3 linked regions of the Elephas maximus indicus genome follow. The protein of the gene in region 2 purifies or fractionates together with the protein of the main gene of each other region. This does not show direct contact. Links are inferred from orthologs where the notes say so. Each region holds a gene or a part of one and is shown on either strand. Other genes may lie near its edges.

Region 1 (11,184 bases), on a different chromosome or scaffold from region 2:
ATCCAAGGTAGCTTCTACCTAGTCAGCCATCTTGGCCCCGCCTCCCTTGTTAACTCTTCAAACATTAAATGTAAGCACTCCTCTTCAAAAGAAGTGAGATCATTTTCCCTGGGAAAAAATAAGCTTAAGGTCAAAAAATTAATTTTTTATTGAGGGTTCTTTTTTTTTTTAAGTATTGTTATGGATTGAATTGTGTCCCCCCAAAATGTCTCCCGGTATTGCGTGGTTGTCCTCCATTTTGTGTTCTGATATGATTATCCTATGTGTTGTAAATCCTAATCTCTACGATGTTAATGGGAGCCCTAGCAGTGAAGTGGTTAAGAGCTATGGCTGCTAACCAAAAGGTTAGTTTGGATCCACCAGCTGCTCCTTGGAAAGCCTATGGGGCAGTTCTACTCTGTCCTGTAGGGTTGCTCTAAGTCGGAACTGACTCCACAACACCTAACAATGACAACAACAACATGATTTTTATAAGGCAGGATTAGAGAAGGTTATGTTAATGTGGGAGGACTCAATCTACAAGATTATGTTGTATCTTAAGTTAATATCTTTTGAGATATAAAAGGAACAATCAAGCAGAGAGAGAGGGACCTCATGCCACCAAGAAAGAAGTGCTGGGAGTGGAACATGTCCTTTATGGGGTCCCTGTGCGGAGAAGCTCCTCAACTGGGGGAAGATTGATGATACAGAACTGACACAGAGAGAAAGCATTCCCGGGGAGCTGGCGCCCTGAATTCAGACTTCCACCTTCCTAGACTGTGAGAGAATAAATTTCTCTTTGTTGAAGCCATCCACTGTGGTATTTCTGTTATAGCAGTACTAGATAACCAAGACAAGTATTCTGAGTTTATTTTAAGGGATTTATTTTTTTTTTTAATGGAGGCACCCTGGTGGCGCAGTGATTAAGAGATCTGGCTGCTAACCAAATGGTCAGCGGTTTGAACCTATCAGCTACTCCTTGGAAGAAAGATGCGGCAGTCTCCTTCTATAAAGATTACAGCCCTGGAACCCTCATGAGGCAATTCTACTCTGCCTATAGGGTTGCTATGAGTCAGAATTAAACTCAATGGCAGTTGGTTCTGGATCACTGAAAATGATATACACGTTTTATTTCTAATAATTATTTGATTTTCTCAGTCTCTTAGAATAAAATAGCTTAGTTCAATTTTCATTTTGGACTATTAATTTCTCTCCTCCAAAAGAGTGGTAGTGTTCTCCAGTAAGGAGGATTACAACATTCACCAGGCATTAAAGAAAAAAAGTACTGAATCCATCTGAAACTTAATAAGACTTAAAACAATGTGTTAATTATTCCTTGAGAAAATTTAGAAATGTATTAATTTAAATGAACTATGATGGAATAAGCATTCAAATCTAATATAACTCCTGAATAGAATATAAAGAAAATAGTTTGGAAAGTACTGAAATGTTCTTGTGGAGGGACAACAGGTTATTTTTTATTTATTCTAAATCTTAGAGCACATTTCTCAGGCATATTGCATCAAATACCACTCACCAGACAGATTTGAAGTAAATATCCAAAGACAGAGGATATTAACTATAGTTTAAAGTACTCAAGATTTAACAGAAAGTTAAGTTCCCATAGCCCAACTCTACTGCCACCCAAATATTAATATCTTCAGAGGTATTTATCCTGATATTGACAGAGGTTTTTCAGAACCCATTCAAAATTTACAGAACTGGTTATTTTCTTGATGCCTGCAAGGCTCATGAATGGGATACTTCTTAGCCACATGCCCTTAAGGTTTAGGAAGGAAGACACATCCATCCATTCATTTGTTCATGTGATTCACACATGCTATACTTCTTAGCACATGTGCTTAAAGTACGGAAAGAGAGGAATGGTATAGCTATATTCATTCAGAAGGAGCCCTGGTGGTGCAGCATTTAAGTGCTTGGTTGCTGTCATGGATTGAATTGAGTCCCCCAAAATATGTATGAGGTTGGTTAGGCCATGATTTCCAGTATGGAGTAGTTGGCCCACATTTTGTAATTTTCCTAAGTGTTATAAATCATAAGCTTTGCCTGTGGTTAAAGAGGATTAGGATGGAATGTAACACCCTTGCTCAGGTCACATCCCTGATCCAATGTAAAGGGAGTTTCCCTGGGGTGTGGCCTGTACCACCTTTTATCTTAGATAAAAGGAAAGGGAAGAAAGCAGAGAGTTGGGGGACCACATACCACCAGGAGGGCAGGGCTGGGAGCATAGTGTGTCCTTTGGACCTGGGATTCCTGCTTGGAGAAGCTCCTAGGCCAGGGGGAGATTGATGGAAATGACCTTCCTCCAGAGCCAACAGAGAAAGAAGGCCTTCCCCTGGAGCTGACACCCTGAGTTTGGACTTCTAGCCCACTGGAGTGTGAGAGAATGGGCTTCGGTTTGTTGAAGACATCCATTTGTGGTATTTCTGTTGTGGCAGCACTAGATAACTAAGACAGCTGCAAAAAGAGAGTTTGCTGGTTCGAACCTACCGGTCACTCCTCCACATGAGAAAGATGTGGCAGCCTGCTTCCATGAAGATTACGGCCTTAGAAACCCTATAGGGCAGTTCTATTCCATCCTGAAGGGTCGCTATGAGTCAGGTATATTCATTCATATGGTTAGTTCATTCATGTCAAAAGATCATTGCTGTCATGGAGGTCACATATTTCTTGTGGAAGGCAGAAAGTAGTAATTGAATAAATAACGAAGTAACTATTAAGTAATGTAAAGCGTTATACAAATAAAACAGGCTCATGTGATAAGAGACTGGCAGGCTACCTTTGAATGTGCTTGAGGAGGTGACATTTGAAATGAGGTCTAAAAAACAAGAAGGAACCAGTCCTATCTGGAGAAGTAACATTTCCTACAGGAGGAACAACAAAAGCAAAGACCCCAAAGCAGGAACAAACTTGGTGCAAAGAACTGAGTAAGGCCAGTGTGGCAGGAGTATATCAAGCTTCAAAAAGAGAGGTAGGAAATGATGTTTATTGGCTGTTTGTATTTCTGTCATTTGTTCAGCACCCGCCTGTTCAACCCCTTGGACTATTTCTCTATTGACTGGTTTGGGTATTTAAAAAAAAAAAAAGTGAAAGTCTAACCTAGTCTGAGAGGGGGAAGGTACAGAGAAGACTTTTCCTGAAAACAAGCAAACAAAACGTTGTTGAGTCAATTCCGACTCACAGTGGCCCACAGGACACAGCAGAACTGCTCCATAGGGTTTCCAAGGAGTGGCTGGTGGATATGAACTGCTGACCTTTCGGTTAGCAGCCCGAGCTCTTAACCACTGTGCCACCAGGGTTCCAACTTTTCTGAGAAAGTGACATTTAAAGGAGACAATGAGACATAATCAATCAAGTGAAGAATAAGGGATCCAGACAAGATCACCTTGTGTTGGGAAAATATTGGGCAAGTTCGAGGGACAGAAAGATGGGAAAAATAGGCAAAGGTGAGTGACAGAAGACAATGATGAATATTATCAGGACCTTACAGCCAGTATTTTGGACTTTATCCTTAGGGCAATTGAGAGCAAGAGATGACAGGATTAAATTTATTTTTTAAAAAGATAGCTCCAGCTGCTGCTTAGAGAATGAATTGAACAGGAATGACAGCAGACCCAGAAAACCAGTTAGGAGGTTATTATGTAATTTAGGACAAAGATAATGGATGGTTTGTATAAATTGGTGACGGTGAAGAATTTGGTACACTGGATTAATTAAATGTGCTTTACCAGTTGCCACTGAGTCTACACTAACTCATGGCGACCGCATGTGTGTCAGAGTAGAACTGTGCTCCATAGCGTTTTCAGTGGCTGATTTCTTGGAAGTAGATTGCCAGGCATTTCCTCTGAGGTGCCTCTGGGTGGACTTGAACCTTCAACCTTTCAGTTAGCATCCATGCATGTTAACTCTTTGTACCACCCAAAATTCCAAATGTGGTTAAAAAAAAAATGATCCAACTTAATTTTTTTTTAATTACTAGCCCATTGTCATATTAGCATATATCCCTGACTTAAAATTCCACACTTCGCATTTACTAAATTTCTAGATGAACTTTTGTCTGTTTATAGTCTCCACACTCACTGACCTGTGCATTTACTCCTGAGCCACTCCCATGTCTTATTATTATATATTGGTATTATTTAGCTATACATGTTTCTGTCCAAAAAGACTAATCGCCACAGAAAATTCCTTGCTACTTTTGTGACCCTAACACCTTGCAATATGTTTTCTCCTTTTCAAAATGGGCGATTGAGAGCCTGACGTAACTAACACGATGATATTCTAAGTAACCTATAAGTTTTTTTTTTTTTTACTGCACCAGCTGCCCTGGTCTCTTTCCAAAGCAATGCAAGGCTTTCTCAGCTCTTGCAGCCTTAGTCTCCCTCCTCTTCTTTGTCCTCTTGGGAGATGGCCTTCAGCCTGCAAGACTGCAGCTAGGAAGGCTGCCTGGTACTTTTGGTCTGCAACTTTCTTTCTTGCTCCTTATCTTGGTCAGCCTAAACTTGGCAGGCCAGTTCCACTAGTGGAGAGATTTTTTTATGTTTTTTTTTTTTTGCCTGTTACAAACATACAGATTAGAGTCCAGATGTCCCACATACATATCTTAATAAAGAGTTTCTTGTAGTTGTGATGTATACTCAACCAACCATCTGTGGGCTACGTGCTTGAGAACATTATGTAATCCTTACAAAAACTGTATTTAAGCTCTGATGTAAAAACTGCTTTTTGGGACTCCATAAAGGCAGCCTGCATTGCTGCCGGACTCCCCACTGATGTCACCTCCTAATAATCTTTCTTTTTCTGACCTGGAGAACCCTTCACTGGTTTGATTGCTCCCAGGCATGGACCCCAATCAGGTAACACTTTCGTAAATTTATTCTTTCTGAATAACTTTGTATCATTTAATTAAAAGAAAAAAAAATTATCTTCTGTTAATGGAGGAATAGCTCCTAACAGACTACCTCCTGCAGGAAACAATTATAAACTCAGGACAAAGTATAAAAACAATACTTGAAGGCACTGAACAGCAACTAAAAGCAGGCAGACCCTAAAGCAGAACGTACCTTTGGAAGAAGAAAAGGGCGCTGGGTAATTTTCACATTTTTATGACTTTTGGCCTGCGGTCAGGCCTCAGTACATTGCCAAACATAATGGTTGAAAGTCAGAAAACCTTCACTATTATTGGTTTAATGAATCAGAGGACTGAGTTCAAGGGGATCACAGAAGTTAGGTAGAGAAGAGGCAAATCCTGGAAAAGAGATTTTCAGAGGAAGGGTGCTCAAAATACTGTGTATAAACGCTGCCCAACTTTCGGATTACCCCTGCATGCATGGTGCAGACATCAAACAGCCAGCTAAGGCTAAAAGGCTTTATAAAAGATTTCTGCTGCTGCCCACTGCTGAAATGACAGAGTTTGGAGTTTCTTGCTAAAAAAATATACAGTGAGATAAATACTTTTAATAGGATCATAACCGAATCAAGAGTCTCAACATACAATTCACAATGCCCAGCTGGGCACCCATATTCTCAGAAAGATAAGGAGACCCTGAGTGGGCCAAAAAGAGACTCAGGCATAGCTGGCTAGTTTCATTTGCCTTTTTTAACTGAGTTATATCTTTTCCTCCACACTCTTAAGAGGTAAAATATATAGCATTATTGTCTTAATCAGGGTTCCCTTTTTCCATTTTCATTGACTCTTTGGAGTCTATTCTCTTACTGCTTCAGATATGTATAATGATTTTTTTTTTCTTTTAACTTCTGTTACTTTTCTTAACTCTGCCGACTGAGTTTGCATCTCCATTTTTTTCACATCATGTTTTTTGGTCTCTTGCTCTAAAGAGTTCATGTTCTGTTAAATTTTTTAAGAGTGTAGAGAAATTTTTACCTAAACATTTTATGTTTTTTTCCAGCAATTTTCTGTCATACATTTGTTTCCCTTCTTCTACTTAAAAATAACAAAATTTTCTATGCAAAGATCCTGTACCACTTTTAAATTATGGCCACTCTATTAGTCTGTCATTTGTGCAAGAACAGTGTAAGTATATTCTCTTCGATTCTTCTCCCTATTTTATTGCGCATTATTTTGGTTATATCCTTAGATACACAAAAGAATATACGTTTGTATCTAAGACATTGAGAATGGTTTTCCCTTCCTCTACTGACAATTTTCCAAAAACTGCTCATTTTGTTTTTGTTGTTACCGCTGCTGAACAGTGATCCCCAAAGTGAGCTGCCTGCAGGAAGACAATACCAGCCTTTTTTTATATTTAGTTTTTAGATTCTTTTATTAACTTCTATTTTCGTCTATTATAATGTATACTTAAGAAATTTATAAATTATTATATACGTATTTACAGGGCTCATGGTATTTCATCAAGCAAGTTTGGGGACTACTGCTCTACAGTCCAAGTCCAAATTTGAATTCAACTGTATTTAAAGCCACATAACATTCCTATCTAAAACACTAGCAATACAAGAAAGTCACACTGCAGAAGGCATCGCTGAGGAAATTACTTTTTTAAAGAGGCTTACTTGTAGACAACGCTTTGAGAAGCTTTCCACGTAGTTTTAAATAAGAAAAATTAAAAAAAAAAAGACGGTATTTGCTGGTTTTGCCTATTATTGGGAACAGCTCCGATCTGTCCAGTTGTTTGGATGCAAAAGCACAGTCCCACTGGTTGGATTAGTCGGTGCGTAATCCACAGCTGCCTCCGGGTCCCAGGTCTGCGGGCAGGGAGAACAGTTCGGAGACCCAACGAATTCTCGTTGGGACAGCAACGCAATTCCTAGCAAAGGCGCTCTAGGCAAGTCCGGACCGGGCGCTAGAGACACTGGCTGGGAGACCTCCGCGGGTCGGCATCACGTGCTCAGCGTACACTGAACCCTTGCCTTCCTTAGGCCTCTTCCACCTCGCGTACCCGCTTTCTTGCTGGGCCGTCACTTCCGGCGGACGCTTTGCGCCATTCCTGTCGTCACTTCCTGCTGCTACCGGTGTGGACGGTGCGGGTCGTGGCCGGCGGATACTCCGGTTCCCCCCCTCCCCTTTTTTCCTCCCTCCCTCCCTGTCCCTCCCTCGGGAACAGTCGCTCGCCGGTTGCGTTCTCCATGCCGCCTCCCTAATCCCCGCCTGACTTCGGTACAACCGGTTTGGCCTTCTTTTCCTGTTTCCCGGCCCAGTCTCAGTGCCAGGCCGGGGGCCTTGAGGAGCCAGAGGCGCCGCAGCTGAGGAGAGAAAAGACGAGACCCTCGGCTGACCAGCCCAACCGCTCAGCGCGCCGCCGCCATGGCATTGAGGCAGACACCGCTCACCTGCTCGGGCCACACGCGACCGGTGGTTGATTTGGCCTTCAGCGGCATCACGCCTTATGGCTATTTCTTAATCAGCGCTTGCAAAGGTGAGCAAGGCCGCTGATTTCGGGTACTCGACGGCCAGAACTGGGCGGTTACCCCCCAGTGCCGAAAGGGTCGCGGGGAGCACAGCCTTTGAGGTGAGGGCTAAGCCTGGACTGATGGGGAAACCGAAACACCCATTTCTGACGCCTCTTTTTGGGCTAAATATTGCTCCCGACTAAGGTCTCTCATTTTATTTTATTTTATTTGCTGTTTCTGGAGAAGCTAGACTGTACACTTGCCTAGTCGCCCCTGGAGCAAGCACTGTAAATATTTTTAGAAGTTTTGGGGAGAGGAGAAACTAGGCCAGGCTGTTCGTTACTAGGCCAAGTCGAGCAATACCTTATATTTATATTTCTCAAAGGTTTTCGCTCCAGTTATCTCATTGGATATTCCTGTATGGTATTAGCCCCATTTTTGAGATAGGAAACTGAGATTTAGGTTAAGAAGTTTGTCCAGAATATATAATAAAATTTAGATTGTTTTGACGCAGATCTGTATTCTTCCCACAGAATTACAGTTGCTTCCCAGAGAGAACTACCAGCTCTCCTCTTCAGTTAATTTATTTCTAGACATTCCTTAGTGACTCCAGTGAGTGGGTTTTCCATGTTGCTATTCAACGTCGTTATTATGTTTTGACTATTAGATTCTAAGTAACTTCAACTTGTAAATCACATGTCTTTTAAAATGTCTTCTAGATGGTAAACCTATGCTACGCCAGGGAGATACAGGAGACTGGATTGGAACATTTTTGGGTCATAAGGGTGCTGTTTGGGGTGCAACATTGAATAAGGATGCCACCAAAGCAGCTACAGCAGCTGCAGATTTCACAGCGTAAGTGTAGCCAAAGTAACAGTCTTTGGACTTCTCTGTGGATTGTGTTCTGAAATAATCAAAAAGTTCATCCTCGTTTGTTTAGCAAATTCCGACTTAGTGCCTGTCATATTGAACGTATAATGTTGTGGATCACACCAAAATTCCATCCTTGAGTCTTTTTTTCTTTACATTAATGATTCTCAACATTTTTAGAGGCTTAAGTGTCTTATTTTATGTCTGGATTGGGACTCAGAAATTTGCGTTATTAAGAAGCACTCCAGATAATGAATATTGGTGGTCTTGGTTTAGAAATGCTGCTCCACATGTGCTCCTTGAGTATCATCTGCTCCTATGTCTTCTACATGCTGGTGACCCCAGGTTTTTAGCCCTGCTTTTACTCTCAGCCTCAGTTTTTCTATGCTTTTGGACGTTTTTGAAACTCATTATGTTCCAAACAGAACTTCTTTTATTTCCTAGGTTTTTTAAGGTTGAGATCTAAATAATTCTTGATTCTCCCTTAACATCCACGTCCTGGTTATCATCTTCTTTGTTGATTCTGCCTGGAGAGTGTCTCCAGACTACAGTGTTTCTCCATGCTTCTGCCAGTCCCTTTAGTTCAGGGCCATTTTTAACTCCCACTAGCCTCTCTCTCCTAGCTCATGTTCCATACTCCTGCCAGTTGTCTTCCTAAAAACAAATGTTACGTCACTTCTCTACCTAATGAGCTCTTCTGTCTTTCCATTTGTCTACTTCAGTGGTTCATGACTTTGGCTATACATTAGAATAACCTGGGGAGTTTTAAAAATAATCAAATATGCCTGGGTTCCAGAAATCCTGACTTAATTGGCATGGGTGAACCAATTGTCTTTGTTTAGATCACTTACAGAACATTGTGGACTAAATAGAATCACATGTTTGAAGACATCTGTGGCTGGGTATTCAGAGTTGTTCTGTGTTGTCTATCAGAATGTCTCAGTGTCTCTGTTATAAGAGGTATTAAGAGCATGGACTCTGGAGCCAGATTGACTCGATTTGAATGCAGTTGTTATTGGTTTATAGCTCTGTAACCTTGGGTACTTTATTTAATCTCTTTTTCAATTTTATCATGTGTAAAAAACAAGAATAATAGTACTTAGTTCTCAGTTTAGCTATGAATATTAAAGGAGTTACTATGTATAAAATACTTAGCACATTGCCTGAAATGTAATAATAGCTACTCTGTAAGTGTTGCATATGTAAGGTAACAGTGACAGCTACCACCACCACTGTTAATTACCACCCCCACAAGACCAAAATTGTATACTACAGTGTATGGCTGGTTTCATGCAAGGAAGTTTAAGATTTAGGTGTCAAGAATTTTTTTTTTTTTTCCAGTGAAGGCTTTTAGATGTGATATAGTGGGAAGAGCCCTGGTGGTGCGGTGGTTAAAGCGCTGAGCTGCAAAACAAAAGGTCGGTGGTTTGAACCCACCAGCTGCTCTGAGGCAGAAAGATGTGGCAATCTGCTTCTATAAATTTACAGCCTTGGAAAAACCCTACAGGGCAGTTCTACTCTGTCCTGCAGGGTCGCTGTGAGTTGGAATCCATTCGCTATGAGTCAGAGTAAGTACACCGATGGGTACATTGTCCCAGAAACACCATCCTCTTTATCTCTTTTAATTTATAAAGTTGTAATTATTTTGCATCATCTCTCTCTGCATCTCCAATTTTCCTCCTATCAAAATTATCTGGGGAGTGTGCCTATGCTGTGGTCCAGATAGTGGTTAAGTAGATCTGGGGTAGGGCCCAGGAGCCTACATGTAATACAAATTTTTTATCACTTTTTCTTTCTTTTAAAAGCCGATAGAAAGACCTAACTTTTCTCTTAATAAGATTATTGATAAATCAGAAATGATATTATACTCTTCTTAATGACTAACCAACTTGCTAGGATGGTTAGGCAAGCTCCCCACCCCCAGAAATACAATAATTTGTTTTGTCAGTACTTTAAATGGTTAAGCTAAGCAGTTATTTTTTTGAAACTTGTGGTGAGTCCATTCTTACCACTGCCATCGAGTTGATTCCAATACATAGCGACCCTATAGGACAGAGTGGAACTGCCCCATAGGGTTTCTAAGGCTGTAAATCTTTACAGAAGCAGACTGCCACGTATTTCTCCCACGGAGCGGCTTAGGTTCGAACCACCAACCTTTTGGTTGGCAGCCAAGAGCTTTAACCATTTTGTCACCATTCTTAGGAGATGAAAAGTGTTGAAAGGACAATGTTCATATTACGTTTAAGAAACTGGGAATATAAGAGGCATCAGTAGTTTATGAAGATGCCAAGTACTTTGAGTTGTGCAGAAAATGAATGCTGTAGGATTAGCTGATAAAAAGATATTGATGCCTCACTGTCTTGCTTTGAGCCCTGAGCTAGTTAATGTCAGTCACCTGCCTGTTGATTGAATAATATATTAGAAAACTTGTAGATTATTCCAAATTTAAGCTCTTTTTAGTATTCTTTTTGTGGATTGTGGGTTTTATTGTGAATAATGAAAATATGCCAGAATTAGTCCATGTGATTAGAATATGTTCTCTCAGACAATGTCATGCTACAAAGTTGAGTTGGGAATGGGAGAGAGCAGAACAGGTTTCCTGTGCAAGGAAGAAATGAAAGCTTGGGAGTTTAATAGCAGTGCTACTCATGGTTGACATTATTTCCCTCAAAGCATATTTATTCAGCTTCTCATGACACAAGTGTATAATATGTAAGGTTTGTTGTCAGTAATATGAGCGTGAATAGTGCCCGACTTATGATGGGGTTCAGTTCCAATACTCCTTCATAAGTGGGTTCTTATCTAAGTTGATTACCTTGTTTTTTTTTTAGTTTTTATTATTATTTTTATTAATATCTTTGTAAATCTGATCTTTGCCTTTGAGGTGGGAAACATTACATATAAAGTTACAAATACAATCTGCAACATTGTATGTAGTACATATTA
Region 2 (10,253 bases):
TCAGTTAGCAGCCAAGCACTTAACCACTGTGGCCACCAGGGCTCAAGATCATTCCTATTAGGCAGCAGTAATAATTTGACTTTATGGCAAGAACTGATTGACTTTTACCTTCCACAAGATCATAAAACAGTTAGCATTCTTAACAATGATTATGTAAAGACGCAAAACACATTTCTCTTAAGGCAAGGTTGACAATCTTTGTTTTATAAGATTATTAAGTTCTTCGTGGATACCAAACTCGAATTTGGAACACCAGTTTTCTAATTATTTACTATGCACTCGATTACTCCTTAAAAACAAAACAATACATATATATTATGTAAATATAGTTACATCTGTAACTATATATAAGGGGCCTTGGTGGCACAACGGTTAAGTACTCAACGGTTAACCAAATGGTTGGTGGTTCAAACCCACCCAAAGGCTCCGAGTTAGAAAGGCCTGGTGATCTGCTTCCATAAAGACGACAGCCAACAATATCCTATGGGGCTGTTATACTCTGTCACATGGGTCGCTGTGCGTCAGAATCGACTCAATGCCACCCACCAAAAATAAATCCAAATGAAGATAAACCTGAAATTTCCTTTACTCTGAAATCTCAGTGTAACTCATGAGACAACTCATAAAGCAGTATTTCTTCCTCCTGACCTTGGAGGCTTCAAGTCAGGATATTAAACCAAGGTTAAGGTAAGAACTTACCTGAAATGCACTCAGCAGGAAAGCCTTTCGAAGAAAGGATATCAGCCAAATGTTGTGCTCTGTAAGAAACAGAAAGGGTTATAATTTTATAAATAATTACAAGCCCACACCTAACCTTTTAGTTCACAAGTTACCCAGATGACCTTTAAAATTACATTACCTACTGTGCAAATTAGAAAAGACTAAGGCTTGATTAAATGGAATTCTGCTGAACAGTTCCTGTAAATGTTGAGCCTTTTCCTCAAAAATCTTATGGGCCAAAGGGTATGAAGTAACAAGTTTGTAATACTGCTTCAAACCTACAAAGAAGTCAAAAGACTTCAGTTAAAACAAACAGAAATTATACATATTATCCTCATAGCAAATATGAAACAGTCGTAGCCAACTGGGCAAGGGAAAGCTCCAGAATATTATGAATGACAAATCAATAATTTAAGTATCCAAAATCTGTACACACCTATGAGACTCGGATCACTGGAATTTAGTCTTACAAAAGTGGGATCTCTCATGTACTTTGTCAAAGCATTAGCCAAAAATTCAGGGTAAGTGGCTGATACTGCCAACATCTGCTTACTAGCAGGCAAAGAAGAATAAATCCAACTGGAAAATAGAAGAAAAACACCACTGAAATTATTCAAACCGTAATCACCACATGGAAAAGTTCAAGATAGGTAACTTTGGAGTGCCACTTTAATAGTCATTTTTCTTACTTTATTTGCTCCTGAAAGCTGCCTTCTTCTAAAAGTTTATCTGCTTCATCAAGAATAAAAAGACGTACACTGGCTGGGTGCAGGTACTCAAGTTCTATGAGTTGTTTAATTCTGCCTAAATTTCAGAAAAAACACACGTGGAAATATTTATGATGCATCAAACTGGCGTAAATCTTAGCCAAATCTGTTAATCCATTCAGGCTGTACTGCTAAAATTTCCTGACCCAAATCTCATAAATGCATTTACACACGAATTTGAAATCTTAAGTTCTGATCTTGCCTCAATCCATTTATTTTTCCTCCCATTTCATCACTAATATGCATGGAAAAGTAACACCATCCTGCCAAGACCTGAATGCTAAGGTACTGAATGCTAGATTCTGAGTAATCCACAATCGAATGGTTAATAAAGAAGTCAAACGATAATCCGAATCCAAGGCTTAGAAGAGCCTCCTGGAGGGTACCTCATCCCTCCTCTCCTCAGAAACCTACCCCTTATGTTCTTAAATATCTGTAGGGAAGATTTCATAAATGCTATTGGTAATCCAGCCATGTGTCTGTATCTCATCGGTCTAATGCTCTTCAAATGTAATCCCAAAATAATGATCACAGTCATCAAGACTCCCATATCCTTACTGTTATATTAAAAATGTTCAGTTCTTTAAAAGCCCCAGATATCAACAGGCTTTGACATCTCACCAGGAGATCCAACGGCAATGTGACACTTTTTAAGTCTGGTTTTGTCTTGTGATAATGGAGTGCCTCCAATAAAGACATGACACTCTAAGCCTTCCATTTTGATTCCAATGGCCATGATAACAGAATGTATCTGTACAGCAATTTCTCTTGTAGGAGCCAAAATCAAAATCTAAAAAAAAACATAAAATATACCTTTAACAAGTCAGGGAATAAATACATATGACTGGCACATTAATTATATGACAAACTACTACATAACCATTTAAAATGATGATTGAGTTTTTACTGGCAAAGGAAAACATTCCATTCATCCATTTACATATTCATTCAGCAAATATTAAATGAGAACCCACTAAGTGCTAGATGACATACTGATGCAAAAAAGCCAAACCCGTTGCCGTCAAGTCAATTCCTACTTATGGTAACCTCACGTACGTGTTCTAGAGTAGAAGTGCTTCATAAGGTTTTCTTGGCTGTAATCGTTATGGAAGCAGATCACCAGGCCTCTGGTCTGCGGCACCACTAGGTGGGTTTGAACCATCAACCTTTAGATTAGCAGCCAGGCAAAAACTGTTTGTACCATCCAACATACTAATTGCTAGGAGATCACAGTTAACAGTATAAAGCCCTTGACCTCATGATACTTTCATTCTAGTATGATAAGATGGTATATAATAAACATATATAAATAATGGCAGGTAATAAAAAGTGCTACGAAGAAAAATCCAACAGCAAAAGGGATGGAGTCATTTTCATGGAGTAGTCAAGGAAGCCCCCTCTCTGAAGCTGACATTTGAGCAGAGATGTGAATATACAGCAGAGTAGAGCTGGCTGTGTGACACCTGAGCAAGAGTTTTCAGGAACAGGGCAGCAAATGCAAAGGCCTAAAGATGAGAGTGTTCTTGGTGTGTTTGTAAAATGGCAAGGAGGCCATGTGGCTGGACAGAATTGGGGGAAATGGAGCGGACGACAGAGATCTAGCTCCAGGGGGCTAGATCATGAAAGGTTTTGTGAGCCACGGTGAAAACTCTGCCATATAACTACTGAAAAAGGAGAAGGTTAAATTACATGTTCTCAATTATGAGAAGGAAAAAAATGCTTACAAATAAAAAGGACTAGAAGAAAATATGCCAAAACTGTTAACAGCAGTTTCTCTCTGGGTAGGTGAGATTATACATTTTGTTTCCTGGTATTTCTGCTAAATTTTCCCAACTTTCCATAAATGCCCATGTATAGCTTTGATGCAAAAAATTATGTTATATAATTTTGATAATACAAAGACCTTAAATTTTAAAAAAGAATCTTATTTATGGAAATTATGCACAGTTTTGACACTTAACCTGCTGCCAGAGTGCTCACTTTCAGCAGCCAAAATGGCAAATACACCTTAGTCCACAAGTAGAAAAGCCCAGGTCATTGGGTAGTAGAAGGATTTCCTATGAGTAGCATCAACCAGGATTCAGTAGGTAAAAGGTAAGACTCAAAAAGCTTCCCGGATAATGTATATATGAGTATCCCTGGTTAAAAACAACCGTATTAAAGGATCATCATCCTCAGATATACATAACTGAAAATATGAAATAAAGTCTGTCATAACTGCTATGCCACAAACTAAGGATGCCATCTGCTGCACCTTTGTATCCCCAGTGCCTGACATACTGTTTATACATACTATGGGCTCAACAAATCTTTGTTGAAGAAATGACCGCACCTCCATGCCAAGCCTGAATTGTCTGTTAATTTGAGTAAAGCGGTCTTAGAACTATTCTAAGAAAATCCAGAAGATGGGAGATCAAGATGATAGATTCACAGATCTTTAAGAACCACCTGGCGTTACCACCAATTATAGCCAGAGCATCACATCACCATGAATCAAATCAAACGCTAAGTCTCGCCTTGCTGCAATCTAGTCAGCAAGTAAAAGAACAATGAATCCTTGTCTGTAGTCTTATGTCACGTCAAAACCGACACTCATGGTTGGCTTACTCTGTTTATGATGTGGTAATAATATTCCAAACTTCAAAGACCAATAAGGTATCCTTGGTAACCATCCACACCAGCACCACTCAGCAGCCTTAACGTCTCCTTTACTTTCATAATTTACATACGGTTTAACTCAATCATTCATCTGAGTCCTCGGAGCTAAACTCACCTGGGTACTTAAGTTTTCAAGAACAAGAGAGTCCAAAGCAATGGTGGAGAATACACAGGTTTTCCCAGTGCCTGACTTAGCTTGAACAATTAAATCTGAGAAGGAAAAATCAACAAATTGTCACCAGCAAGTACTAACTGAAGGAGCTTAGATACCAACATGAAATGGGAGAACTGGAAAGGGTCTCCACAGATAACCTAGCTGGGACCTGCCATTTTCAGTTTACCATCAAAAATGCACGAGGCCATATTCAGAGCCATCCCAGGTGTGTCTGAACCTCTACCACTGTTTAGCCTCTCAAGCTCAGAATCACGAGCCAGCGCTGGAAAGGGCTCTAGCTATCTTCAAATGCAAAATCTCCCCTTTTGTTTTACAAAAGGGGAAACTGAGGCTCGAAGGCGTGCGGCACCTAGCCCAAGGCCGAGCCCTGCCCAGGCGGCCGACCTGGTGCTCCTTCCCGGTCCTCGCCGCGGGCCCAGCTGCTGCCGCCCCTCGGGCCCCCCTCCTCGGCCCCGTCCGGCCTCCCCTGGGCCCCCGCCCTCACCGAGACCGCAGCGCCCCAGCGGGATGGCCTTGAGCTGCACCGGGGAGGGCCGCTCGAAGCCGGCCGCCCGCAGGCCCTCCAGCACCGGCCGCGACAGCAGCAACGACTCGAAATCCGCCGGCTCAGCCAGCAGCACGTCCCCTGTGCGGGTCCGCGGGCCGCCGATGTCGTGAGCCGTCCGCAGGCTGCGCGCCGGCCCGGGGGCGGGCTCCGGAGCCGGGACAGGCGCGGTCACACGCTCCTCCGGTAAAGCCGTCTCCACGGGAGCCGAGGCCGCAGGGGCCTCAAGCGCCGCCGCCATGGTACACGCGCCACCAAATCTCGCGGTACTTGAGAAGAGGCGGGGAGCATGAGAGCGAGGAAAGAGAAAACGTTATTGGCAGTCTTCCAGTGACGACAGTAACACGCCCGGCCTTGGACAGAAGAGGAGGGATGGAAGCCGGAGGCTGGGAAAGACTCAGGAACGACAACAGAAAAATGTGGCCTGAGGAAGGCGGGAAGTGAGAGGAGAGAGAAGATGAGGCTACCGGTGTGTCGCTGCCTTCGGCCTGCAGAGGGCGCCACGTGCTCACGGTGGGGGCGCCGTCCCTCCTCCCGGCTTCTTCTGGGTGGGTCCGCCCAGTCCCGACCGAGTGCAGCCACCCGCACAGCCCTGTCTTTGTGATGCGTCCGGTGCGTCACACCTCGCCGCCTCTGAGCCTCCGCTGGCTGTTCGGTCAGCCTGAATCCCGCTCCGCCGTCATCTTTTCCCGAGCCCTCCCAACTCGCTGTTTTCTCTGTGTTCGCAGAGAGCGCTCGAGGTTTAACAAGACTTCGGGATTTTTTTTTTTTTTATGGTGTATGTCTGCCTGCAGAATGGCTTTGTTCATCCTTGGGTCCCCAGCTCCTGACACGGTACCTGGCACGTGGTGAACTCTAATAAAGGAAATTGAATTGGAACCAGGAGCTGGAATTGAATATTGAATTGATGACCCTGACAATTGCCAAACCTCAAACCTCTCTCTAAACTCGTCTTATATTTTCATCCATCTGCCTCATCAACATTTCTACTTTAGATGTCTAGTACCTGGTTGCCGTGGAGTCAATTCTAGGCATCTCAAATTTAACATGTTTTCTTTGTATGTCTTGCTCCTCCGTCATGAGTGGGCAACTAGCGGTCTTTATGGCTTTCTTTAATTTAGGTCTCTGCTCAAATACCACCTTTTCAAAGAAGTCCCCCACCCCTGCCTTTTCCGTCACTATATTCCCTTGTTCTGCTCTAATTTTTTATAGGACGTATTATATATAATTGTATTATTGTTGTTGTTAGGTGGCGTCAAGTTGGTTCTGACTCATAGTGACCCTATGCACAACAAAATGAAACACTGCCCTGTCCTGAGCCATCCTTACAGTCGTTCTTATGCTTGAGTTCATTGTTGAACCCACTGTGTCAATCCACCTCTTTGAGGGTCTTCCTCTCTTCTGCTGATCCTGTACTCTGCCAAGCATGATGTCCTTCTCCAGGGACTGATCCCTCCTGACAACATGTCCGAAGTGTGTAAGACACAGTCTCGCCATCCTTGCTTCTAAGGAGCATTCTGGCTGTACTTCTTTTGAGACAGATTTATTCATTCTTTTGGCAGTCCATGGTATATTCAATGTTCTTCGCCAACACCACAATTCAAAGGCATCAATTCTTCTTCGGTCTTCCTTACTCATTGTCCAGCTTTCACATGCATATAATGTGATTGAAAATACCATGGCTTGGGTCAGGCACACCTTTGTTTTCAGGGTGACATCTTTGCTCTTCAACACTTTAAAGAGGTCCTTTGCACCAGATTTACCCAATGCAATGCGTCTTTTGATTCTTGACTGCTGCTTCCATGGCTGTTGATTGTGGATCCAAGTAAAATGAAATCCTTGACAAGTTCAATCTTTTCTCTGTCTATCATGATGTTGCTCATTGGTCCAGTTGTGAGGATTTTTGTTTTCTTTATGTTGAGGTGCAATCCATACTGAAGGCTGTGGTCCTTGATCTTCATTAGTAAGTGCTTCAAGTCCTCTTCACTTTGAGCAAGCAAGGTTGTGTCATCTGCATAAGGCAGGTTGTTAATGAGTCTTCCTCCAATCCCGATGCCCTGTTCTTCTTCATATACTCCAACTTCTGGTATTATTTGCTCAGCATACAGATTAAATAGGTATGGTGGAAGAATATAACCCTGACGCACACCTTGCCTGACTTTAAACCAATCCGTATCCCCTTGTTCTGTCTAAACAACTGCCTCTTGATCTATGTAAAGGTTCCTCACGAGCACAATTAAGCGTTCTGGAATTCCCATTCTTCCCAATGTTGTCCACAGTTTGTTATGACCCACACAGTCAATGCCTTTACATAGTCAATAAAACACAGGTAAACATCCTTCTGGTATTCTCTGCTTTCAGCCAGGATCCATCTGACATCAGCAATGATATCCCTGGTTCCACATCCTCTTCCGAAACCGGCCTAAACTTCTGGCAGTTCCCCGTCGATATACTGCCGCAGACGTTTTTGAATGACCTTCAGCAAAATTTTACTTGCATGTGATATTAATGATGTTGTTCTATAATTTCCACATTCAGTTGGATCACCTTTCTCGGGAATAGGCATGAATATGGATCTCTTCCAGTCAGTTGGCCAGGAAGCTGTCTTCCATATTTCTTGGCATAGACGACTGAGCACCTTCAGCACTGCATCCATTTGTTGAAACATCTCAACTGATATTCCATCAATTCCTGGAGCCTTGTTTTTCGCCAATGCCTTCAGAGCAGCTTGGACTTCTTCCTTCAGTACCATCGGTTCCTGATCATATGCCACCTCTTGAAATGGTTGAACATCGACTAATTCTTTTTGGTATAATGACTCGGTATTCCTTCCATCTTCTTTTGATGCTTCCTGCATCATTTAATATTTTCCCCATGGAATCCTTCACTATTGCAACTTGAGGCTTGAATTTTTTCTTCAGTTCTTTCAGCTTGAGAAACACCAAGCGTGTTCTTACCTTTTGGTTTTCCATCTCCAGCTCTTTGCACACGTCATTATAATACTTTATTTTGTCTTCTCAAGATGCCCTTTGAAATCTTCAGTTCTTTCACTTCATCCATTCTTCCTTTTGCTTTAGCTGCTTGACACTCAAGAACAAGTTTCAGAGTCTCCTTTGACATCCATCTCAGTCTCTTCTTTCTTTCCTGTCTTTTCAATGTATTTATATATTTATGTATTTTCTGTCTCCCCTACTTCATGAGGACAGGAAGCTTTTTTGTCTGGTTCTCTGGTCTATCCCTAGTGGGAAAAAGAGAATCCGACACATAGTAAGTACTCAATAAATATTTATTGAGAGAATGAGTGCCTATAACAAAGACTTAGTCACAATTCCAAACTTATTTTCTGAAAACCTATCTTACAATTTCGAACTTAAAGCTATTCTGCGTCCAACACCAAACTTTTCCTTTGTCCTTAGATCATAATCCTGGTCATTATCTCCCACTTACACACACAGACAAACACACACACACACACACACACATACACAGTGGTTCCAGATTCCAAACAATGTGCCTCTTCGGCATGGTAATCCCACTGGAAAGGAGTCCTGCTTAGAAATTTACAAAACCTTGAGAAAATGTCAACTGTCCATAGGAAAGAAGGAGAACTGATGATGAGGGGTGCATTAAACCCCCAGGCATCCTATTAGGACCCCCACCTTTTTCAGCCACCTAATCCTCCAAGTCACACCTTCTACTATCCCTCCCCTCTTTGTAACAATTCACTGACTGGAGGTAATTATGGCTCCAAATATTTCTTCCATTCCTCTTCTCCAGTCCCCGTAGCATCTGCCGTGTTTTAGGCCCCTTCACCATCCTGAACTATTGCAATAACCTCCTGAATGGTCTCCTGCCAGAATTTCTTCTCTATCTTGGCCATCCACCCGCATCTGCTGGAATGAGCTTTCTTAAATAGATTATCCTTGGTTGCTTTAAACCAGCTTCAGGCCTTGCTTCTTTTGACACCCTTATTTATTCCCCACCCCAGGCTCCCACCTCACACTGTAAATAATTCTTGTCCAGCTCTTACCATATTGTATTTACTTGTTTACATGCCTGTCCCTCCTACTAAACTATGATCTTCTCAATGACAGGAATGTTGTCACCCTAGGCTCTCTCCAGCCCAGTATGAGGCACCTGGTAAACCTAATAAATATTGCATGGCTGACACTTTCTTGCTCAAAAAGTCTCTACCGGGTCCCCATGTGCACAGCAGCAGTTCTACAGAACTTGGACCAATCACTGTCAAAGAACCTGGCTCTCATCCCGAGAGAAACAAAAATACTACTTTTCCAGAAAAGGGCATTCATAGTTTTATAGGCATTCTCTTATTGCATTTGTTATTTATGGTGTTTTACTGACACGAATATTGCAGTAATGTTATTGGGAGTACATTTTATTGCTATGGCTAAAAACACAAATCAATAAAATTTTTCCCTCAATGGTTAAAAAGAATAACAATATTGTTGACCACAATTTCAGGGCTGTAAAGATAAAACAAAGAGAGATCACTTAATAACTAGGAAAGGTGTAAGAGAAAAACACATGGAAACTGAACACTAGTGTGGACTATGTCTGCATCTCAGCACCCACAAGATAAAGTCCAATCAGACCTCAGCCTCTTTTCGGGCCAGGAAGCCCACCTACCTCCTCCAAACAGACCAAACTACATCAATTCCTTAATGCTCATGGCTTGTCACAGCTCAGAACCTTGGTGCTGCTCCGTCTACCTGGAAAGCCTCGCCCACTTTATATATCCAGGAGCTCCTACTCCCCTTCAAGTCAGCGGAGGCCAGTGGAAGGAGAGATCCCTGTGAACTGAAGAAGTAAGAGTGAGACTTGAGCTCAGAATGAATGTTGGGGTTCAAATGGTCATGTCCAGTCATTTTGCAGCAAAGGCTGCTGAGCCCAGAGGGAAGGAAAACAATGTAGTGGATGTAAGGGGGCCACCCTGGGCATGAGGATCAGTGGGGGCATGTAGAAAGAAGAAAATGAAACTATAGTTAGACATTCACTTTATCTCATATGACCCTCAAAGCAACAAAAAGGAGGCAATTGTTATCCGCATTCAATCCACAAGCATCACTTTATTCATTCTTTCAACAAAATTCTTCTGAATGCCTAAAGGGAATCACCCAAGTGCTGGAGATACAAAAATAGAACCAAATAAAAAGAGTGCTTGGCCTCAAGGAGAAAGACGCACACAAACAGGTGGTTACATTCACTGCAAAGTGTAGGGGGCCGCTGAAGTCAAAGAGGGCCACTTAACCCAGAAGGGGGCCAAGAAGGGTTTAGCAGTCAAGACTAGGTCTGAAGGAAAATAAGACCTCAGAATGACAGTGGCTTGACCAAGATAGAATTTATTTTGTCCTTGTAGAGAGATCTGGAG
Region 3 (10,189 bases), on a different chromosome or scaffold from region 2:
ACAGACCTTATAAACCAAGGTAGGAGGAAACCTGAGTCTAGCTCAAACTGTCTAGCAATTTCAGTCAAGCCTTCAGGAAATAACCACTGTAATGAAGATCCTCTGAAAACAAACCATTCTGTTCAAGTCTCCAAGGTTCCCTCTGCCTTGAAGTTCCTTCTCTTCTTATGAACTGCTGCTCTTTTAAGGCTCAGCCTGATTTCAAGCTTCTCATCCTCTGATCCCTGCCTACTACCCTTTCTGCTCACTCTCTCTAATATCCCTACTGTACCAATCCTTCCACTTCATGGAGACCTCAGATCTACCACTCTTGACATTTTCACTACTGCCCACCCTCATCTGTCCTCCCATCCTTCCTCTGATGCAGCACAGATCCCAGGATCCATCATTATAATTGCTCCTTTGAAAACACCCTTAGGTCCCTTGTCTCCTCTCCCCTGGGGGTATTATACCCCATAAAACCCCGAACCTGGTTGAATTAAACCACGTTCTTTTTCAACCAGCTTGAGCAGTTTCAGTTTATGACCCTGATCTTTAAGCTTGGTACTCAACAGTGACCACAGGACCTACGATTTTCCCTAATAAGTTCACATTCTCATTCTCTGAGAAAACTGTTTTCATATCTTCTTCCCACCCATAACCTGACTGGCTTCATCACTGACTTATGCCTTGCTGAGAACATCAGAAGCCATCACAGTGGAACAAACTCTCAAGGCTTCCTACCAAATCTAAAAACCTACTTGCACCTGATCCACATTCTCAGCTGTTCTTTGTACTTGGGACTTGGGTTCAATCCTTGTAACTTCCTAACAGTTTCCCTCTTGGCATTTACCACCTCTTACTTCTGCAACAAGCTCTCTCTCTTTTGCCTCACTTCCATCAGCATGAAGACATGCCCTTGGTATCTTCCATCTAATACCCCATATACTTCCTCTGGCTTTATGTCTATGCACATTTTCTCCGCAAACTTTGTGAAAAGTTATCTCCATGTTTATCTCTACTACCTTACCCCCAGTGTTTTAAACTCACTCCGATCAGACTTTTTGTACCAAAAGGCTAGTGAAATTGTTCATGTCAAGTCTTCAAAGTTGAGTGAATGGACATCTTTGGGAGAGAAGTATGTGGAATGGGGAAGGAAAGGAATTGCTGTTCTTTCAAGGCTCAGCCTGATGCAAGCTTCTCGACCTCTGACCCCTGCCTACTACATGAAACAAACCGGGTGACCAACGGGGAGACAGGTCCCAATGCTAGTCACTTATCCAAGCTAGAAGGAGAATTCAGAACTAGAGAGACAGATCGAGTTATCTGACACTTTGGGAGTAAACGTTATATCCAAGGGCAAGTACAGAGGAAGGAAAAAGGTCAAAGAGGACATTTCCTACAAATAGAGGCTGACAGAGGGTCAGATATGAAGAATGAGCAAAGTACAGTATCATGTAAACCAAGGGAACAGAAACAAAGAGAGGGAGTGGAAGAGACAGTAAGGACCTGGAGATCACAGGAAGAAATGATGCCAAGGGCTCACGGGAGCAGCTAAATCATCTCCTTGTAAATTATCTCCCTGAATGAGGAGAAATGGGAGAAGGTAAAGTAAATGTAACATATTACCATGAACAAAAATAAATTATCAATACAGGTGGTACAGTACTCACCCAATGGCTACTAAATCTTCATGATGAGGTGAACAAGTAAGACAGAAAATTGTCCTGGGTTCAGTAAAGAGGTGCTGGCTGTCATTTCTGTTAAGCCAGTAACAGAAAATGACCCCTTTTTCATCCCCAGATACTATCAAGTCCTTTACTCGAGGAGACCAATGCAATGCTGATATTGTATGCTATAAAACAAAAAATGTTTGGTTTTTCATTTGCCAATGCTAAATTTTTGCTTAATTTTTAACCTGTATCACACACTGGCGTAACGTTAGGCACATTATAGGTACTTAACGAATGCTTGTTAGCATTAGTTATATAAAACCCAAAACGAAACCCATTGCCATGGAGTCGATTCTGACTCATAGTGACCCTATAGAACAGAGTAGAGCTGCCCCACAGAGTTTCCAAGGAATGCCTGGTAGATTTAACTGCCAACCTTTTGGTCAGCAGCTGTAGTACTTAACCACTACACCACCAGGGTTTCCAAATAGCAAGCCTATATTAACAAATGATAGGAAAATGTAGTCTATTTGGGACTAAAGAATCATGTCTAAAAAAACCATTTCTTCTTTTTATAGCTTACATGTAAAGTTCTTAATAAGAGAGTCTTTTCCTTTCCTCTGTTTGCTCAAAAGACAGGCATGTCAGGTAATCATTTGGTTTAGAAACCAGTTTCACTCGCTCACTTACAGCTTGTATCAGAGATTGGCAAATCTTATAATGTAAAGGGCCAGATAATAAATATTTTAGGCTCTGTGGGCCATACTATCTCTACTGCAAACAACTCATTGCCGTTGAGTTGATTCTGACTTATAGTGACCCTATAGGGCAGAGTAGAATTGCCCCATTGGGTTTCCATGGAGGGGCTAGTGGATTTGAACTATCGATCTCTTGGTTAACAGCCGAGCTCTTAACCACTGCTCCACCAGGGCTCCTGGGGTACTCAATTTTGCTGTTGTAGCATGAAAGTACTCAAAGACAATACTTAAACAAATAGGTGTGGCTGTGTTCCAATGAAACTATGTGCTGAAACAGTGTTGTTGTTGTTAGGTGCCACAGAGTTGGTTCCGACTCACAGCGACCCTACAGGACAGAGCAGGGTCGCTACGACCAGGTAGGGGGTAATTTACCAATCTCTGGCTTATATGCATTGCTTTTCAAAAAAGTTTAGAGGCACCTTACGCTATGTTCTTGTTGGGTGTTATACAGTGACTTCTAACTCATACTGACCCCATGTAAGCAAGCAGAACTGCCCCGTAGGGTTTCCTAGGCTGAAACCTTTACAGGAGCAGATCACCAGGCCTTTTCTCCCCTGGAGCAGGAGCTGGTAGGTTTGAACCTCTAACCTTTCTGTTAGCAGCTGAGTGCTTAACAACTGCATCACCAGGTTTCCTGACTTTACACTGTAGAGCTTCTGATCTAATAACGGATATATTTATAAAAACTGCCTTGTACAAATGAGCTAACAAAATTGCTTGAAACGAAAGAACCCTCAGCACAGATACAAAATGAGTCTGAGAAATCATTAAGCCACAGTACCTGATGGAGTGCATGTTCTGTCACAACTGTTTTCGTCTCTACATCCCAGATTTTCACAGTCCCATCGTCAGAGCTGGTGGCACAGAGGTTGTATTGACCCGGGTGATGGGAAAACGTGAAGCCAGAGACTCTTTCGGTGTGTCCCACCAACTCCCCTATGACTTCAAGCAAAACCAGACTGCAGGTTAATGAAAGCGCTGCCCATGATTCCAGGCAGAATCACACTGTTGTTGGCTGATGAGTGAGCAGATGCTTTGGAGTTTCCTAGCCCATGGTGTAACAAAAGGATCTCACTCACAAGCAGAAACCCCAAGTTCTGGTGTTGGCTCTGCCATGTGATTTCAAACAAATCATTTTATCTCACTGAGTGTGCCTTCTCAACTATAAAATGTTCAAAATACATTGCTGTACCTAGTTCACAGGTTGAAAAGCAGCACACATAAGAATGTAAAAGCGATTTTTATTTAGATCTGGTCAGGGACCGTCTGAAATAGAATACGTGGCAGGTCATATCCCAAGGCACCAGCAAAACCTAGTTTGGAACCTGGGTGCATCTGGCTCAACTCATTCGTTTTACAGAAACAAGGATCACGTATTTGCAGGATCGTTTTTACGGCCTGCAGTTACAGGCAGCCCGCAATCCCAGGAAGGCTTCCAGAGGGCCCGCGAGTGGGCGTGGGGGGCGTAAATGTTATAAAAACTCAGGTCAAGACAGTGCTAATTTCCCAGTAAGTAAGCGGTCCCACGTGTGAGCGCCAGGAGGGCGGGACCGCCGGGCCACAGCGTGGTGCAGCTCACTCTTGGAGACTCGGACGCAGCTCAGATGAGTGACCGTGGGCAAACTCCTCTCCCTGCCTGAGCCTCAGTTTCCCTATCTGTAGAAAGAGAGGCGGCCGAATACTCCCACTCGGCGACCACAGAGAGCCCAGTGGGAAGGGCAAGAAGGTCTGGGCCCAGACGTGGGCAGTTACCTCGAAACGGGGGCGTCCCATGGCTTGCGCCTGCGCCCGGGCCCACGCGGACTAGGAAGACCGAGGTCCGCGCCGCGAAGCCGAAAAGACCCCCGGGTACGGCGTCGCTGCAGCGGGCGCAGTACCAGTTGGGGGACGGAGGCAGCGTCCGCGGTTCTTGCCCCATGTCCGCGGGCCGCCTAAGATGAGAGGAGCAGCCAGAGGCGCAGCCAGAGGCGCAGGTCGTTCGGGGCACGCCGGAGCCAGGAAGGGGGCGGGGCGGGGGCGGGGCCGGCTTCGAGCCCCGCCTCCCCAGGTCTGCCACTACGGGGCGCGCCGAGGCCCAGGCCGCACGGAGCGCTCTGCTCCCGGCGCCTCAGGGTTGCGAAGGACGAGGCAGCGCTTGCTGCGCTTTGCGTGCTAACCCCGCACGCAGCCTCAGCCAGAGCCTAGCCCTGGGGTTAGACATTCTTACTCCCCAAAGCAAAACCACGTAATTAAGGGATTAGATTGGTGGAGTCATCCACTCACACTGTGAGTTCATTCTTTGGACCTGTTTAATCGCTATCCTGTCAAATGTTTCCTTTGAACGCTGTGTACCGGGGCATTTTGCTAGCTCTGGAGATTCTTTAAAGAAATCTGCGGAAGCCAAGAAGACTCTGGGTGGTGCAAACGGTTAACACTCTGGGCCACTAACTGAAAGATTGGAGGTTAGAGTCCTCCCAGTGGTTCATTGGTAAAAAAGCCTGGGAATCTACTGAAAAATCTGCTACTGAAAACCCTGTGGAGCACAATTCTGATCTGACACACGTACGGTCGCCATAAATTTGAATTGACTTGGCAGCAACTGGTATATACAAGATGCCAATTAGCAAAAAAAGATAAAAGGAGAAATAGTAAAAAAATAAAAAAAGGGGGGAAGGAACAGTTTCTGCAGCTAGGTGGAAATCCTGGCTCTGGGTTTTTGGTTTTCAAAGATTAAAGAGAAGCAGAATGGAGTGACTCTTGATTCACTTGATTGAGTGCCAACTCTGAGAAGGGAACTATGTGTTAAGTACTGTGGAGAAAAAAGAGTGAAAATTCCTTTCCAACTCAAAACATGCAAAAATGCTCAGATTTTACACTTAAACTCGTCTTGCTTGTTTGCGTTGGAAATCTGCACTTATGTATACTAGCAAACTGAAAGCTGAAAATATCTATCCTTAATATGGAGAGGGCACACATACACAAAGATGTGAATAGGGTCACTAACTTTGTAGGCACCCAGCCATAGATTGTCCACTGGTTTTGCCAGTTGTTAGTGGAAAGAAGTTAACCCACCCTGAACCCATCCTAAATCAGTTTCTTCATATGAGCAGAGAAGATGATAATCCATAACTTGAACTGATGTTCGGAATAAACGAGATTTAGTGCAGTGCCTGGTGAGCATACCCACAAAAAAACCCCAGGGCCGTCGAGTTGATTCCGACTCATAGCGACCCTGTAGGACAGAGTAGAACTGCCCCATAGAGTTTCCCAGGAGCATATATGGTAATAAATGCTCGATGAAATATTAACTCATCCCTTGGTCGGAGCCTTGATGGCACAGAGGTTAAGAGCTTGGCTGCTAACCAAAAGGTCGGCAGTTCAAATCCATCAACTGCTCCTTGGAAACCCTGCGGGGCAGTTCTCCTCTGTCGTACAGAGTCGCTATGAGTCAGAATCAACTCGATGGCAATAAAATTTCATGGGTATCTCTTGGTGGTCAACTTGGAGATTCACAGGGATAAGGACATCATACTTCGTATTTGAATGGCTTGCTCTTTTAAAAGTGCATTCATACCATCTCTAGTGATCTTTACAACAAGCTTGTGTCGTAGGGATAGCTATTTCTGACTATATTTTACTGACGAGAAAACTGAGGCCCACACGGGTTAGGTGACTTATTCATGGACCGTTTCCCTAATCCTTTCATTTGTGAGGTGAGGCTTCCCAAATTTTCTGGGTTTCTGCGAATTTATGGAAACTCACTGGTTTTCGGCCTTTATTAAGTCATTCGTTCTCAAGCACGGTTGGCCTAAACACCGTTTAGGCAACAGCAGCGTGTTCGCGGTCTCCATGACAACACCGCGGCTGTAGGTACGCTGGATCTCCGCAGAGGAAACCCAGAGTATTGCGCATGTGCTAGTCCTGGCGGCGTGTGGACTCGGAGGCTTCCGTAGAGAGACGGAGAAAGATGGCGGCCGCAGTGCTGCAGCAGTTGGGTAAGGGTTTTTTGGTGGTTAGTAGGCAGAGGAAGGGAGCTGAGATGGGAGTCTGAATTTACGGATTGTGTTGGTGTTGCAGGTGCGTTATGGATGCAGAATCTGAGGAGCCAGGGCAAGCTCGCCTTGGGGTAAGTGTCTCGCCTCGGCGTTGCAGAAGTGTCCGAGGCCTCCATTCTATTCTATGATTCAATTACTGAGCTCGTATGTGCCAGGCTTAGGTTCTGGGGCTACAGAGTCGAACAAGACAGCTAGAATCCCTGCTTTGTCACCCCATTTTCCCGCGGGCGTATCTCTTAGCCCTGCAGGTATCAGAATTATCCATTACTCTCTTTTTATTTCAAGGACCACTGCAAATGTCTTTTCTGGACAGCATCCTCTGGCCTTTCTGGACGCGGTTAGACTTTTCCACCTCCATGTGGAACTGTTCAACTTTTTTAGTTACTTCTCTATTTAGTTGCTTACATGGAGAAAGACCGTGTTTTAGCCGTAGTTTATCTTGTGTTTGACATAGGCTAAAGACTTTATGTGACATTATCGCGTACGATTTTCATAGTAATAACGAGTACTGGTGATTGCCATTTTTTTAAACAAGGAAATTGAAACCCCCAAATGTGAAATAATTTGCTCAAAGTCATCCACTTATAGGAAATTGTGACGCTTTAAACTATATTCTCCAAAGCATTCTTTGGCTTTAGGACAAAAGCATTTTTTAAGATTAGGAAATGTAATTGAGTCAGGACTGGCAAGAGTTCTTTCCCTTCCCCTTTTCATTATCTCTTTTCTGCAGTATATCTTTTGTTATTTGGAGATAGATAATCTGATTATAAGTTTCAGATCAATATATTTGTTAGCATTTATTTTATAGTAAGTAGCTTAGTTCATAGGCTTCGGAGACAGATTGTTGTGAATCCACTTTTTAACTGATTTTGGAAAATTTACTTATTTCTAAGCTTTATTAATACCTACCTCATAGAATTTTTGTGAGACTTAAATGAGATAATGCATATGAAGTGTTTAGCACAATGCATGACATGTAAATAAGCCCACCTTAAATCTCAACTGCCATCATTGTTTTTATCACTACAAATTATTATTGAGTTCTTATTTAGCTGTGTCTTAGGTTCTTGGGTCAGGGGGATGAAGAGGTGGGCTAAAGAAGGATGTAGAAAGTGCCGGCCCTTAGGCTTTGTCTGCACTTTGCTTTCTTACGTTATATTCTATTGTTCTGCCCCCAGCCACGCTGATTTACTTACTTTTTCTGACTATGCTGTGCATTCATTTGCTTCTTGGCTTTGTTCATGCTGTGTCCTCCATTCTTGTTAATAACTGCAGTTTTACTCATTATTTAAACCCCTGTTCAGATGTTTCCCATTCAGGAGGTGTTTTCAGATCTGATTAAAATGGAAAGATACTGATTTCTCCTTCCACTTAGTGTGTGTACCATGCATAGTGGCCTTATGTATATGTATCCATGCCCTTTACTAGCTTGTGTGTCCTAAAGAAGTAGGGACCAACACGGGATCTTGCACAAAGTAGATATTTTGTTAATGTTTGTTGATTTAAGTTGCCTTGCACTGACTTTTGAGGAGCCCTGGTGGAGCAGTGGTTAAAGTGCTCAACTGCTAACCGAAAGTTGGTGGTTTGAACCCACCAGTTGCTCTGGGGGAGAAAGATGTGGCAGCTTGCTTCCATAAAGATTACAGCCTTTCGAAACCCTATGGGTTCCAAACTGTGCTATGTCCTGAAGAGTCAGAATCAACTTGACAGTAAGGGGTTTGGTTTGGTTTGGCACTGACTTACTAGGAAATTCTGGGCAAGTAACTTAAGCAGTTTGGCTTTAATCTTTTCATCCGTGTCACCTAAACAATAGCAAATCTGACACTCTTGTTTAATTATCTAGCAGATATGACACTCGATAATTTCTAAGGCTCTTTCCAGTTCTCAATGTATATAATTTTATGAGTCCCCATTCTCGACTTTTTAATGGGGAAGACAGGCTATGACCATACGAAAACTTAGCATGAAAACTATAAATAATGCTCATAATAACAATGTGAAATCTTTAAAAAAAAATTTATTTTGTTGTTGTTGAGAATATACACAGCAAAACATACACCAATTCAACAGTTTCTATGTGTACCATTCAGTTACACTGATTACATTCTCAGAGTTGTACAACCATTCTCACCCTCATTTTTCGAGTTTCTCTCCCATTAACATAAACTCACAGCCCCAAAGGTTTCTATCTTATCTTTCAAGTTGCTCTTGTCTGTTTGACTTCATATAGGTGGTTCTTAAAAGAGCATAATGCTCAAGGCAGACATTCTTTACTAGTTAAGCTGAACTATTGTTTAGTTTTAAGAAGACTTCAGGGAATATTTTTGGTTTAAGGTTTAACGATTATCTCAGGGCAGTAGTTTGAGGGGTTTATTCAGCCTTCATGGCTCCAGAAAGTCTGGAGTCCATCAGAGTTTGAAATTCTGTTCTACATTTTCCCCCTTTTGATCAGGATTCTTCTACAGAATCTTTGATTGACCATGTAAAATCTTAGAGATCATCTAATTCAGTGACTGGAAATGCAATTGTGTAGAGGGGCCAGACAGCATAAATGAGTGAACTAGGAAAAGTAGTCAGTGTAAAATAGAGGGAGTGGAGGGCCCGTGGCAGTCAGGGGGCATTCCTCACCTAAAGACATTGAATTGGGTTAAGAAAAAATGCCACTGACCAAATAAAACTTTTCTGCAGGCTATATTTGGTACGAGACCGACAATTTTCAACCTTTGAATGCCAAGTCTCATATTTTACCGATGGATGCATTGGAGAAGTTTGTGACTTACTGAAGGTTACACAGTTAAAACATGGCGGGGTCTAGGATCGGAACAGAAATTTTCTGTCTTTAAGTAGTGGTTTATCAATCATGGAATGGATGGAGTGATGGGCCCAGAAGGGGTTTGTCAGAGGAGTGGTTTTAGGAGAGGTGATTTTAGGAGTAAGGAGAGTATGTTTAGGAGTAAGAGAGTACATTTTGGTGGTTTAGAAGTAGAATGGCTACGGTAAAAGTTTGAAGGTGCTAATGACTAATTTGGGGCCCTGGTGGCAAAATAGTCGCGTTTGGCTGCTAACCAAAAGGTCAGTAGTTTGAATCCACCAGCCGCTCCTTGGAAGCCCTGTGGGGCATCTACTCTGTCCTGTAAGATCACTATGAGTCAGAATCAACTCAACAGCAATGGGTTTTAATGACCAATTTGTACTTAGGTTAAAATTCTCCACAAGAAAAGCCATGTTGGAAATGTCATGAATTAGCTGTTTAGTGAAAAAATGATGAGGACAGTTTGATATATTTGAATAAATACTGGTCTGCAGAAGGACATCGTGCTTGGAAGAGGTCAGCGAAAGAGGAAGACCCTCAATGAGATGAATTGACACGGTGGCTGAAGCATAACAACGATTGTGAGGATGGCAGAGGGCCAGGCAACATTTTGTTGTATTATACATAAGGTCGCGGAGTCAGAACCAACTCGATGGTACCTGACAACAGCAACAGCGGAAGATAGAATTGAATTTCAGCCCTGACTCTGCCGGGAACAAATGTGGCCTTGAGCAATTTGCTTAAATTCTCTGAGGCTCCGTTTCCATATCTCAAAAAAATGAGGAAAAAAAAAAGATACCATCCATTTTACAGAAACTCTGGCGGGCCTAGTGGTTAACAGCTATGGCTGCTAACCAAAAGGCTGGCAGTTTGAATCCACCAGGTGCTTCTTGGAAACTTTATGGGGCAGTTCTACTCTGTTCTATAGGATTG

The links.
Region 1: the proteins of DDX20 (region 2) and STRAP purify together in Homo sapiens (affinity purification with mass spectrometry; 3 studies listed by BioGRID and IntAct, counting the BioPlex papers as one, with this or other methods). This does not show direct contact. The link is inferred for Elephas maximus indicus from reciprocal best matches to the Homo sapiens genes DDX20 and STRAP.
Region 3: the proteins of DDX20 (region 2) and GEMIN5 purify together in Homo sapiens (affinity purification with western blotting; 6 studies listed by BioGRID and IntAct, counting the BioPlex papers as one, with this or other methods). This does not show direct contact. The link is inferred for Elephas maximus indicus from reciprocal best matches to the Homo sapiens genes DDX20 and GEMIN5.

The regions. Positions count from the first base shown.
Region 1 is NC_064822.1:74,615,408-74,626,591, forward strand, and holds the start of STRAP (serine-threonine kinase receptor-associated protein), read left to right. Parts: upstream 1-6,979; 5' UTR 6,980-7,282; coding exon 7,283-7,394; intron 7,395-8,087; coding exon 8,088-8,223; intron 8,224-11,184. UniProt on the Homo sapiens protein: The SMN complex catalyzes the assembly of small nuclear ribonucleoproteins (snRNPs), the building blocks of the spliceosome, and thereby plays an important role in the splicing of cellular pre-mRNAs.
Region 2 is NC_064821.1:169,128,380-169,138,632, forward strand, and holds the start of DDX20 (probable ATP-dependent RNA helicase DDX20), read right to left. Parts: upstream 5,285-10,253; 5' UTR 5,106-5,284; coding exon 4,805-5,105; intron 4,356-4,804; coding exon 4,261-4,355; intron 2,278-4,260; coding exon 2,109-2,277; intron 1,525-2,108; coding exon 1,410-1,524; intron 1,300-1,409; coding exon 1,157-1,299; intron 999-1,156; coding exon 860-998; intron 759-859; coding exon 700-758; intron 1-699.
Region 3 is NC_064820.1:171,079,330-171,089,518, forward strand, and holds the start of GEMIN5 (gem-associated protein 5), read right to left. Parts: upstream 4,408-10,189; 5' UTR 4,329-4,407; coding exon 4,163-4,328; intron 3,353-4,162; coding exon 3,192-3,352; intron 1,835-3,191; coding exon 1,653-1,834; intron 1-1,652. Other genes in the region: MRPL22 (39S ribosomal protein L22, mitochondrial), read left to right, coding at 6,357-6,384, 6,467-6,515. UniProt on the Homo sapiens protein: The SMN complex catalyzes the assembly of small nuclear ribonucleoproteins (snRNPs), the building blocks of the spliceosome, and thereby plays an important role in the splicing of cellular pre-mRNAs.